Linked DNA regions of Alligator mississippiensis. The protein of the gene in region 3 interacts with the protein of the main gene of each other region in a pairwise test. Links are inferred from orthologs where the notes say so. Each region holds a gene or a part of one and is shown on either strand. Other genes may lie near its edges. The genes, in order: UBE2V1, SS18L1 and FAM168A.

Region 1 (3,748 bases), on a different chromosome or scaffold from region 3:
TAGCTGGGGCAGCCTGGAGCTCTGCACAGGCTAATTTTCTCACTGAGCAACAAAGTACATTAGCTGACATGGCAGCATGAAGCTCTGCCAGGCTACTGTACCTTGCTGTTTAACAGGAATATTAACCCACGCAGAGCTCCCTGTTGCCACAACCATACTACTTCCAATACACTAGCTAGCTCAAGAATCCCTATACCGCGCTGTCTATAGCACAGACATAGCTTTCACCCCTCAAGAAACCCAGTCATGGCCTTTTGAGAGTCTTCAAGTCACCTGGTTCCCCTTTATTTGTATGTTCAATGAATTCTCAGAGTAGTGCGGTTTTCCTTTCCAGAAGTCATGCTGCTAGACTCTCCTATAATTTCTTTCCAGGTGTTTTATTATTCTAATTTTTAAGCATTTCAACCCATTTGTTAGATGGTGTATGGCTTTCTTGTTCATTTCCAAAATCACCCTTGCAGCCTTCTATAGAAATACAGGGCTAACGTATGCTGCCTTTTCATTTGTTCTACAACTAGAAATTTTTAATGAGATTGGACATATACCTTTGGAATTCAGCTACTTCCAAGAGAAGCAAACAGATCCACATGTTTTACAAACAAATAGGCACACATTTAAAGGTTTTTGTAAAACAAGTATTTGTAAAACTTGTTTATAAATAAGAAAGATCATTACACTCCTTGCCCAAAGCCCACCATGAATTGGTGACTATAAATAAATATCAAGGGATTGATCTTTCCCTTGTCCCTGTACCCAATAGACAACACCACATCCAAAACTTTTAGCATCAAAAAAAGTACAATACAAACTGCACTGCAGTGCCACTGTAATATTACTGAAAGGGACGGGACATAACTGTTCCTTTTAGCAGAAAAGGACAGTCTAATAACCTAATCAGTAGTCACAGGGTGGGCTTTATCACCAAGAATAAAGAGCCGCATCAGTTACCAGCTGGACCAGCTCACAGTTGCATTTAAATGGAGTTGCTCACTTGGATTTTTCAAATCCAAATTCAGAGCTGTCTACAAAGGCTCAGCGTTCACGTAACTGTGTTGAAAAGTTATACACTGATTTTCAAAGCTTTTGCCAAAAGGAAAGGTACAAACAAAACCCTACCAGCAGCAGGTTAAATATGTCTGTCACCAGATGCCTGAATAAGTATGTATGTTGCCACACCTATTTGTTCTTCCCTAGCTGTACGTTACCTGAAGTACAAACTTCCCACTTCCAATTCTGCAGAGCCGATAAAGCAGCAGCACTTTTAGAATCACATGAAAAACGACGGGACGTGACACAAAAGGGGCCGCCCGGCCGATTTTCTGCACTTAACTACACACTCACAGCATCTCTCAACGGGGAGTTGAGATAGATCGAGTCAGATCTACCAGGGGTGCGGCTGAAATACCCTATGGAAGCCCTGTATCGAGGCGAGTTTAAAAATGTCTCAATAATCTTACATGACCTCTCCATCCGCACCCAAACAACGAATTCATGGAGCTGCACTGACTTAAAAAGAAAGACACATGCCTTGTTCTTCCAGCCAAATGTAAATGGAAGAAAAGTCAGAAGCTGCAAAAGATTATTGGAGAAATACGGCGGCCTGCTGGAGTGACACAAGAAGCCGATAAGGCCCTGTCTCAATTTCACATCCTGTGCTGGGCGTTTCAACACGGGTCTCCTAGAATACAAACCGCACAAGCGCAGAAAAACCAGCGGTATTGGGATTACGAGGACTTTTAAACACAGATCTGCAAAATACAGGCCTCGTAACAACTGCTACTGCACTGCTCGCACATTTTTAAAATCCTTCTCTTTTGAGTGATCGCTCTTGTTAGAAGACCATCTACGGAAATAGCTACGGCCTCAAGAGAAAAATGAAGATCCTCTTCGTTTCCTCGGTCAAGACGAGGGATTCCCCTTGAAGGACCTGCTTCGTTTTAAAATTTGGTGGGAACCACTTGAAACAAATCCTGGAGGCCAAAACTGCAACCCAGGCACAGCAGAAATTAGTACCCAAAAGTGAAACTCATTTGACTCTGTTTCACTTCTATCCGTTACTCTGCTTAAAAGCGAAGCGGGCGGCGCTGGGCAAGGCGGCGAATCTCTCCTGTGGGCATCGCCGGCCGACGCTGCGCCGGGGTTTCGGCGGCATCAGGACCCGGGCGCCGGCAGGGCCCAGCCAGGCCAGGAGTGGGGTGGGGGGACAAACCCTCAGGCGGCAAACCCCAGCTCGGGGCCCTCGGGTGGGCCGGCTCCAGGCGCAGCGGTGTCGGCCCAGGGCAGCGAGTGGGCCCGGGGCCGGGTCCGGGTCCGGGGGACGCGGCAGCGGGCGGGCCCAGCCGGCGGGTGTTGAGGCCCCGCACCGGCAAGACACGGACGCGGGCCCGGGCTGCGCTGCCCCGCCACAACCCCGCGGGCAGGGGCAGGAGTAGGAGTAGGGAGCGCGGCCTGAACCCCCGCCCCGCGCGGCGCCCCCCGCCCCGGTCCCGGCCGGCTGCCCGGCCCCGCTCACCCGAGCCCGTGGTGGCCGCCATCTTGCGCCGCTGCCGCTCCGAGCCCGCCCCTTCCGCCGCGTCACCGCCACGCGCGAACTGCGGCTTGATGGGACGAGACGGGAGGAGCCGCGGGCGGGCGGGCGCAGAAAGTCGCAGTCCGGAAGCTGGGCGGGGCTGGCCGGCAGGCCTCGGGAAGGGCGTTTTTGCGTTGCACGGAGCGTGGGAGGGGGAATAAGCCGTGCGGGCGGGCCGGAGAGCAGCGTCCTCGGGGTTGTCAGGTGCGCGATTATTGCAACCCTTGTGCGACGTGCGAGCAACAGGGAGCCTGCTTTTCTGATAGAAAGGATCCCCAATTTTCGGATTTAAAAACGAACCCAAAATCCAAATTTTTCCGTGATTAAAATGAAACACTACTTTTTAAAAAAAAAACTTTCCTTTGTATTTTTTTATTTTTTCATTTTCCTTTTTTTGACTTTGTCCTTTACTTTTTTACTCTTTTCCTTTTTTACTCCCTTTTTCATTTTTTACTTTCCTTTTTCTTTTTTACTTTTTCTTTTTAACTTTTTCCTTTTCTACTCTTTTTCCTTTTCCTTTTTTACTCGCTCTTTTTCTTTTTTTTCCTTTATATAAAATGAAACACCTAGATAGATAGATAGGCATTTCATTTTAGTCATGGAAAAATGTGGATTTTGGGTTATGTTTTTTAAATTTGAAAACTGGGTGTTTGTTTTTTAACCAGGATCCCTGATGACCACTAACAGTAGAAGTATTCAAAGTGTGGATAGTTTTTGGGGCTGCCAATCAATGCAGTGTATGCAAAACCTGAGTCACTCTCAGGGAGTCTTATCCAGCTCCTGGGTTTGCTGTCAGTGCTTTCTCATGACCGCTTGCTTCGAAATAAAGAAAGGCTTCAACTTGGGCCCAGTTCTCGCTCGGTGGTGACTTACAGTGAGCAATACAAGGTAAAGAAGACTCGTTTGCATAGTTTTTCAGTGTACAATAGTTTTCTAGCAAACGCTATAATTTTGAGCTTCCAATAGGATAATTTCATATTTAAGGACCTGGCCATGCTGGGCATCCTTCACGTTTGGCCAGTGGCTGTTGGCAGAGGACACCCAAGCAGCAGCAGCGACTCCTGCAGGCAGGGGCTGAACAGAGGCAGTGGCAAAGTGCTCCATGGGGGACGTGCTCCAGCTACAGGGGGGGCAAATCAACCTGAATGGGGGGTCAGAGCCGTGCTGCAGGAGCTGTTT
Region 2 (3,748 bases), on a different chromosome or scaffold from region 3:
TTTTCAACAACAAAAAAAAAAGTCTATGTTTTTGCACGCGTGTCGCGCAAGTGCAGGCGGCGCCCCCCGCGCTGCTCGGGCCCTCCCCCCGGCGGGTCCCGTGAGGCCAGGTCAGGACAGGCCCGGCGGCACACTCACCGCGGTGGAGCCCTTCTTGACGGCCTCCTGCGCGTACTCGACCTGGAAGAGGTGGCCGTCGGGAGAGAAGACGGTGATGGCGCGGTCGTAGCTCATGGCGGCCCCGGCGCTGCCTCAAATCCGCACACTCACCGCCCGCCCCGCCCCTTCCGGCGGACCGCCCCGCCCCTTCCGGCGGCCCTTCCGCTGTCACGCGCCTGGCCTACGCCTTCTGCTTCCTGTGCGCCAACTGCGTAGGCGCTGCGTTTCCCCACCCCCCTTCATGTTCTACCTTACGCACTTGGCGTACATACCTGCGTGTCTCCCACCCCCCCGTTTAACGTAGCCGCCGGGTTTATCAAGGTGGAGGATTTCCTCTCCGCTCTTGGCGTACACGCGTTCTTTGCCTACGCCATTGACGTAGTTATCAAGGTGAAGTTATCCCACGCACTTTGCGTAGGAGCGGGCATGATTTCCCTCCCCCCTCCGGCTTCACGCTGCACTCCACGCACTTGGCGTACATGCCGCCTTCCCTACGCACTTGGCGCACCTGGCTGCCGCTGCTCGCCTGCGCCAGGAAGCCGGGGCGCGGGACGCACCATGTGCAGCGGCGTGGGGGGGAGCGGGGGAGGGGCTCTGCGGTGGGCACCGCCCCCGCCCCCCCCCCGGACCCGAGCCGCTGGGCCCCCCCGGCGCGCGGGGCTGTGGCAGAGGGGCGCGGGGGGCGGGGCCGGCGCGGGGGGCCGCGGGGCGGGGCGTGGGATGTACCATGTGCGCCGGCCACCCCCGCGCACTGCGGACAGCCCGGCGCGGCGGCGGCGCCGATCGCAACCGTGAGCGCGGGGCCGGGGCCGTGCCAGGGACCCGCCCCCCCCCGCCCCCGCCCCCGCCGGCATGTCGGTCGCCTTCGCCTCCGCCCGGCCCAGGGCCAAGGGCGAGGTCACGCAGCAAACCATCCAGAAGGTGAGGGGGGGGGCATCGCCTCACGGCCCGGGGGGGAGGGGGTCACAGCCGGGGGTGGGGGATGGGGGCTTCATCCATTATTCACCCGGGCACGGCGGGGGGGTGAGCGCCGCCGCCGTCACCACCACGGTCCTGCGGTACGGTCACCATCCGTGTGAGCATAGCGTTATTACCGGGGGTATTCGCGTTATTAGCAGTAGTGCTGGCATGATCGTCACTGTTACTATTAGTGTTGGCATTATTAGTATTATCAGCGTTATTAGCATTATTAGTAGTATTAGTATTAATAGTATCAGTATTGGCATTGTTAGCATTGGCTTAGTATCATTAGTATTAGTGTTATTACTAGTATTAGTATCACTAGCATTATTATTGGTATTGACATTATTATTACTAGTATTATTTCTATTATATTACAAGTATTATTATTATTATTATATTACTAGTATTAGTAGTAATAATAATACATTGTTATTATATTACTAGTAGTAGTAATAATAATGCATTGTTATTATTACTGCTACTAGTATTAGTATTGTCAGCATTAGTATTGGTTTAGTATCATTAGCATTATTAATAGTATTGGCGTTATTACTAGTATTAGTATCATCAGCATTACTATTACTATTGGTATTATCAGCGTTACTATTAGTATTGGCTTTATTAGCATTAGTATTAGTGCATTATTAGTATTAGTAGTAGTATCAGTGTTGTTAGTGCTAGTATCAGTGTTATTGTTAGTATTGGTATTATCAGCATTATTGGTATTGCCATTATTATTAGTATTGGCATTATCAGCATTGTTAGTAGCATTGGCATTATTAGTATTAGTATCAGCATCATCAGCATTATTATTAGTATTGTTATTTGTATTAGTATCATCATCAGCATTATTATTAGTATTGTTATTTGTATTATCATTAGTATCATTATCAGCATTATTATTATTATTATTGTCATGTGCGGTTGCACTCGTCGTGGCTTAACGCCAAAGGGCAGAGGTTTCGAGGGGCTTTCTCATCGGGCTCGGTCCCTGCTGGGCTTCCCTACAGAAGCGGGTGCTGAGGGGACCCACTTGGGAAGTTCGGGGGATGCTTTTGTAGGAGAAGACGCGCGAGGGTGATGGGCAGGGGGGAAGGAGCCCCTCCCAGGCCCTGCTGCCGTCCCCGGGGATAACGGAAGAGGTGTGGAGGTGTCAATAAAGAGCGTGTCTGTGCTGTCGATTGGTTTTGCTGAACAATGCCTGTCATGCCCAGCTCCAGCCTGCGTGCTCTGTGTTTGCCCTATTGCGATGTGCGGGGGGGGTTGCGTTGTGCGGGAAGGGATGAAGGTCTGATGTAGTCCATTTGTAAAGGATAATGGCGAACAAAAAAAGGTGTCAGCTCTCAGCAATCAGCTGTTTAGGAGGATTTCCTGCAGTCCAGCTAGCATCTAGTGCCAGGCTGTGAATTCTGGGGCAATGCGTTTTGCTGGAGGACGAGGTCAAGATTCAGGAAAATGAAGGCAGAACAAAGTACCCCGAGAGAGATGTTAGAATCTCGCATCTCTAAATGCCAGGAGAGCATTTGGAAACTCGTTCCATTTTGCCTAATTCTTGGAGCATGTGAGACGTTGTCATCAGACCCACTTCATTTCAGAGGCTAAAATATTTAGACAGCAGTGGCAAAAGGTGCAGCTTTATCCTTTATCTGGATTTTTGTGGGTTTAAGGCAGAATTTCACATCCTGTGTAGGTTAGTCTTTTAAGTTCATTTTCAAGGTTTCAGTGTAAAGGACAGTCGTAATCTCTTAATTGTCCACGCACTTTCCCTCCTGTCCGTGATAAACCTAGTAATAGTTTGGGGCTGCAGTCTGTTTCTTGGAAATATATAAAAATCTTTTCCTCTGACAAGTACACTCCATGCTTTCTACATTAGGCTTGCTCCTTGAGTTCTTGATTCTTGGCAGTGATGGTCTTTTTTGAAAAGCACTGACGCTTTTATCTGAAAACAAATGCATAAAAAAATTAACTTGACTTTGCCGTCATATATGGGGGGCAGGGCGGAATCTAATTTTGGGGCAGGAAATTGCAACAGTGTGCGTTCATCAGAAGTCAGACTTTATAGTAAAAGATATTTTTCACAAAGATGCTTGTTTTCGGCTCATGTTTGAATACACAAGCAGCTAGTTTTTATGATGCATGCTACTGACTTGCTTTCAAAAGCTCCTTTCAAGCCTTTATCCTTCCGAAGCTAACTATAATCCTTATACAAAACTTCATGTGAGGAAAGTGAAAGACTGTAGGATTGCAGATTGACTGTAGCTCATGGAACAGCAATGGGCATTAATATTAACCTTCGATTTACTTCTCTGACAGATTAGAGCCTACTTCTTTTTAGCAGTGTTATACTACAGTTATTCTCTGGTCTTTTTGCAACAAACAGTTGTGTTGCTTGGATTGTCAGCACTGAATACACATCCAGAGGTGACGTTTGATCCTTAAACCGTCTTACTAGACATGAGGATGCCAGCAGCTGAGCTGTTCATTAATATTGGAAAATATTTTGAGGGTCCTAAGATGATTACAGTTTTTCAGGAAAAATGATCCTCTCCACTCAGTTGCAGAGAATTGTATTAGACTTTCCACAGAATATCTCCATCTACATCATCGTAGGTTCGACACAAACAGT
Region 3 (3,748 bases):
CCAGCCCCAACTACATCATCCCAGCCAAGGCTTGGCCTACCCTCAGCCTTAAAAACCTCCAAGGATGGAGAGTCCACAACCTCTTTGGGTAAACTGTTCTAGTGTTTTACTACCCTCCTAGTGAGAGTTTTTCCTAATAGCCAACTTCCTAGTGAGAGTTTTTCCTAATAGCCAACTTCAATATCCTCAGCTTTCCTTGCTGCAGCTTGAGCCCATTGCTCCTTGTCCTGTCACCTGGCCCACTGAGACCAGCCCAGCTCCATCTTCTTTGCAACCCCGCTGCAGGGAGCTGAAGGCTGCTATTCAATCCCCTCAGTCTTCTCTTCTGCAGACTAAATTAGCCCAGTTCCCTCAGCCTGTCCTCATCAGTCATGGGCTCCAGCCTCCAAACCATTTTCATTGCCGTCTGCTGGACTGTCTCTAACTTGTCCGCATCCTTGCCCCGCTCTCATCCGACTGGCCACGTGTCCTATATCTACTCAAACTCCTGGGCTTTTCAGCACCCAGGTGTGTTCACTGTTCAAAATAAAGTGTGGTCACGTGGCCGACTGCAACGGGAAGGCCTGTACTTAGCAGCAGTCCTGTCACAGGGGTGGTTGGTTTTCATATGATCTGAACGGTCAGGCTTATTGCATGCTTTCTCTTTTTTCTCCGGTGGATGTCAGGTATATGTCTGTAAGCGATACCATGTTCAGGCTTGCAACAAGTTAATTCCTTTTGCAAAAAGCACTGAAGTTACACTGCTCTTTTGCCAGTTTGGCACAGGAAATCTGCTGGGATCTCAAGTGTAATGCTCTGTCAGTGAAGTCTCCTGTCCTTTTTTTAGATTCAGCATGCCATTCTGATGGGTAAAACAGCTTTTTTTTTAATTATTTAAATGAGCTACTTGGTTGCATGGAGTTACTAATTTGATATGGGTTTGGTACGTTTCTGTACACGTGGGAGTAAAAGGACTCTTTTGCCAATTCGAAGCTGGTGGCTTCTCTCTTTCCTCACGTGATTTATGGATTGGAGTGACCTGGAGGATCTCCAGCACTTTGCTCCTGTCCAGCTGGTGCATCTGCCTTCCTCCTAGCTCTTCATTTCTTATTTTTAAGTCCCTTTTTGCTCTCCACAGCAGCTGTTACAATCAGCTTATGCACTGGGCACCTCTCCTCTTGTCCGCCAGGTTTGGAGCCAGGCTACAGAAAGAAGATTGATACACATGTTCTGGATTCTCCCCATTATTTTTTTTCCTGCCTCCTTTCAAAAGGCAGCAAGAGCTCTGGATCTGGAAACGGATAACACTCAAGAGGATCAGCCCCCCAAAGGATAAGGCTTCAGAGAGTTCCCTGGGCTCTAGAAACTGTATGAAATGGTGAGTAAAATCCTTTGCATCATAAGCAGGCACGGTTCTTTGGGTAGATGTGATATCAAAGATCCTGGCCTGCCTGTGTCCTTAGAGCGACACGGCAACAACCAAAACCCAGTTTGCATCATAAGAGTGCTCGCTACATGCCTAGACCAGGAGCTGTCACATAAAGGAAGCAAGGTAGCAGCGCAGAAAGAAATCACGATCCTTTTTGCTATATTTCAGCACTGGTGAGGTCACATCTGGAGTCCCGTGTCCAGGTTTGAGCCACCCACTGCAGAAAGCATGTGGGCACATTGGAGAGAGTTCAGTGGAGGGCAATAAAAATGGTTTGAGAACATGATTTGTGAGGAGAGGCTGGGGGAACTGGGTTTATCAAGTCCGGAGAAGAGCAGATTGAGTGGGGATTTGATAGCAGCCTTCAACTCCCTGCAGTGGGGTTGCAAAGAGGATGGAGCTGGACTGTTCTCAGTGGGGGCAGATGTCAGGACGAGGAGCAATGGGCTCAAGTTGCGGCAGGGGAAGCTGAGGTTAGATATTCGGAAAAACTTTCTCACTAGGAGGGTAGTAAAACACTGGAACAGGTTACCCAAAGAGGTTGCAGACTCTCCATCCTTGGAGGTTTTGAAGACTTGGCTAGACAAAGCCTTGGCTGGGATGATGTAGTTGGGGCCGGTCCTGCTTTGAGCAGGGGTTGGACTACGTGTGACCTCTAGGTGTCCCTTCCACCCCTCATTTTCTATGATTCTGTGCTTTTCTAGGTGAAACACATTTTTCCCCTTCATGTGAGACACTGCGTCATGTTATTGAGTCCTTGGGCTCTGCCTACAAGGCCAGCTTTTCTTGTCCATGTACCTAGATCTTCTCACAGGCACCATTATACTCTCCTCCTGTTAAAATAAAGCTTTGACATTATCCTCCTTCAGGTCCCTCTTTAAAACTCATCTTTCCTGTAATGGTCTGTATCCACTTGTTTCTCAGAGACGAGGAAGAGCATTTTGTGCCTGAAACCTGGTCTAACATCTCACCCAACTATCTAGTTAGTCCAGTAAAAATATTACCAAACAACTCTTGCTTCTGTAAAACACATGGTGAGGCGGCTGTTCATTTTGTGAATTGTTACTATTGTATTGTTTCTTTGCTCTCCTTTTCTCTCTCTAAATGAGTTCATTTTGTGGGTGTTTTGTGTCTTGGCGTATGCTAAGTCTGGGAAATCTTTGGAGCCATAATGTGCAATGGGGCCCTGATCCAGTATAAATAATAGATGGCTGCATTCTGGGAGCACTAATCCCCACTAAGAATGTCACTGTCCAGCAGCTCGTGTGCTGTAAGAATTGTTAGACAGGAACCACTCACCAGAATGAGCTCCCACGTTCAAAGTATAAAGGACAGAGCCACTTGAACATCAGTAGAGCCCACTTCACAGAGTAACCTCTCCCTTTCTGTCCTCACAATCCTTCCTTGTGCTCAAAGGGAATTCAGAAAACACTCCTAGGTGAGGGGTCTGAGAATAGAAATGTATAAGCCCATTGGACAGTAAAAAATCTGGACTCAATACAGACAGCCACTTTATGGCTCATTACAACCTAACAAATGCTGTTGTTAATCTCCCTTCACATCACAGGTAATAACTTCCCTTTGTCTTCTCAAATGGTCTCACTCTTCCACTAACTAGATTGCCTGTGCTTATGCACCTTTTTGTCCTAGAACAGCTCCTGATAACACCTCTTCACGTCTAGTTCACAGCCTCCTCCATCCCTCCAAGTAGACTTTGCAATTAAATGGAGTCTTTTCTCTGCTGTTGAGTTCAGTCTGTCTGCCTCTTTTTTTTTTTACACCTGAGGAAGGGCACTTGATGCCTAAAAGCTTGTCCAACAGCTCTCCCAACTATACAGTTGGTCCAATAGATGTTATTACAAAACATCCTTGCCTCTGGACTTTTGGCAGTGATGATGCTAACTGAATATCCTGGTCTGAAAGTGTATTTAAAGTAAGTGTTAACGAAGGAGAAATTCAGAGTTTCAGTTGCTCCGGCCTATTGATCTTGAGAGTCACCAACCAGGTGTGGCTGAAGACCAAGAAGTCTGCTTTGATGCATCTGTCCTGTAGGGTTATTGCAATTTAAGGCCACTGTATAGTCTTTAGAATTGAGTTTCTTCCTTTCTTTAGTGTTTTTAATGATGGGTAGAGCTGGATGTGATTCAAGACTTGATGTTTTGTATGAACCAGCTCATTTTCATCTTGAGTTAAAACTGAACTAAACAGAAGCTTTGTAAAATTCCACCCGTGCTTCTCCAACAAACATAGTGGGTTCCTTTCCCAACCACATCCATTGCATTTGCTTATGATTGTGTTTACAGGGCTCACTTTTCACTCTGCTTATGAAAGAATTGCTGT

Evidence for each region.
Region 1: the proteins of FAM168A (region 3) and UBE2V1 interact in binary tests that used the Homo sapiens proteins (3 or more experiments, as listed by UniProt). The two-hybrid records come from large-scale screens. The link is inferred for Alligator mississippiensis from reciprocal best matches to the Homo sapiens genes FAM168A and UBE2V1.
Region 2: the proteins of FAM168A (region 3) and SS18L1 interact in binary tests that used the Homo sapiens proteins (3 or more experiments, as listed by UniProt). The two-hybrid records come from large-scale screens. The link is inferred for Alligator mississippiensis from reciprocal best matches to the Homo sapiens genes FAM168A and SS18L1.

The regions. Positions count from the first base shown.
Region 1 is NC_081832.1:13,258,135-13,261,882, reverse strand, and holds the start of UBE2V1 (ubiquitin-conjugating enzyme E2 variant 1), read right to left. Parts: upstream 2,617-3,748; 5' UTR 2,535-2,616; coding exon 2,513-2,534; intron 1-2,512. UniProt on the Homo sapiens protein: Has no ubiquitin ligase activity on its own. The UBE2V1-UBE2N heterodimer catalyzes the synthesis of non-canonical poly-ubiquitin chains that are linked through Lys-63.
Region 2 is NC_081832.1:5,945,590-5,949,337, reverse strand, and holds the start of SS18L1 (calcium-responsive transactivator), read left to right. Parts: upstream 1-952; 5' UTR 953-1,011; coding exon 1,012-1,080; intron 1,081-3,748. Other genes in the region: PSMA7 (proteasome subunit alpha type-7), read right to left, coding at 139-234. UniProt on the Homo sapiens protein: Transcriptional activator which is required for calcium-dependent dendritic growth and branching in cortical neurons. Recruits CREB-binding protein (CREBBP) to nuclear bodies.
Region 3 is NC_081824.1:467,259,691-467,263,438, forward strand, and holds the start of FAM168A (protein FAM168A), read left to right. Parts: upstream 1-1,183; 5' UTR 1,184-1,354; coding exon 1,355-1,357; intron 1,358-3,748.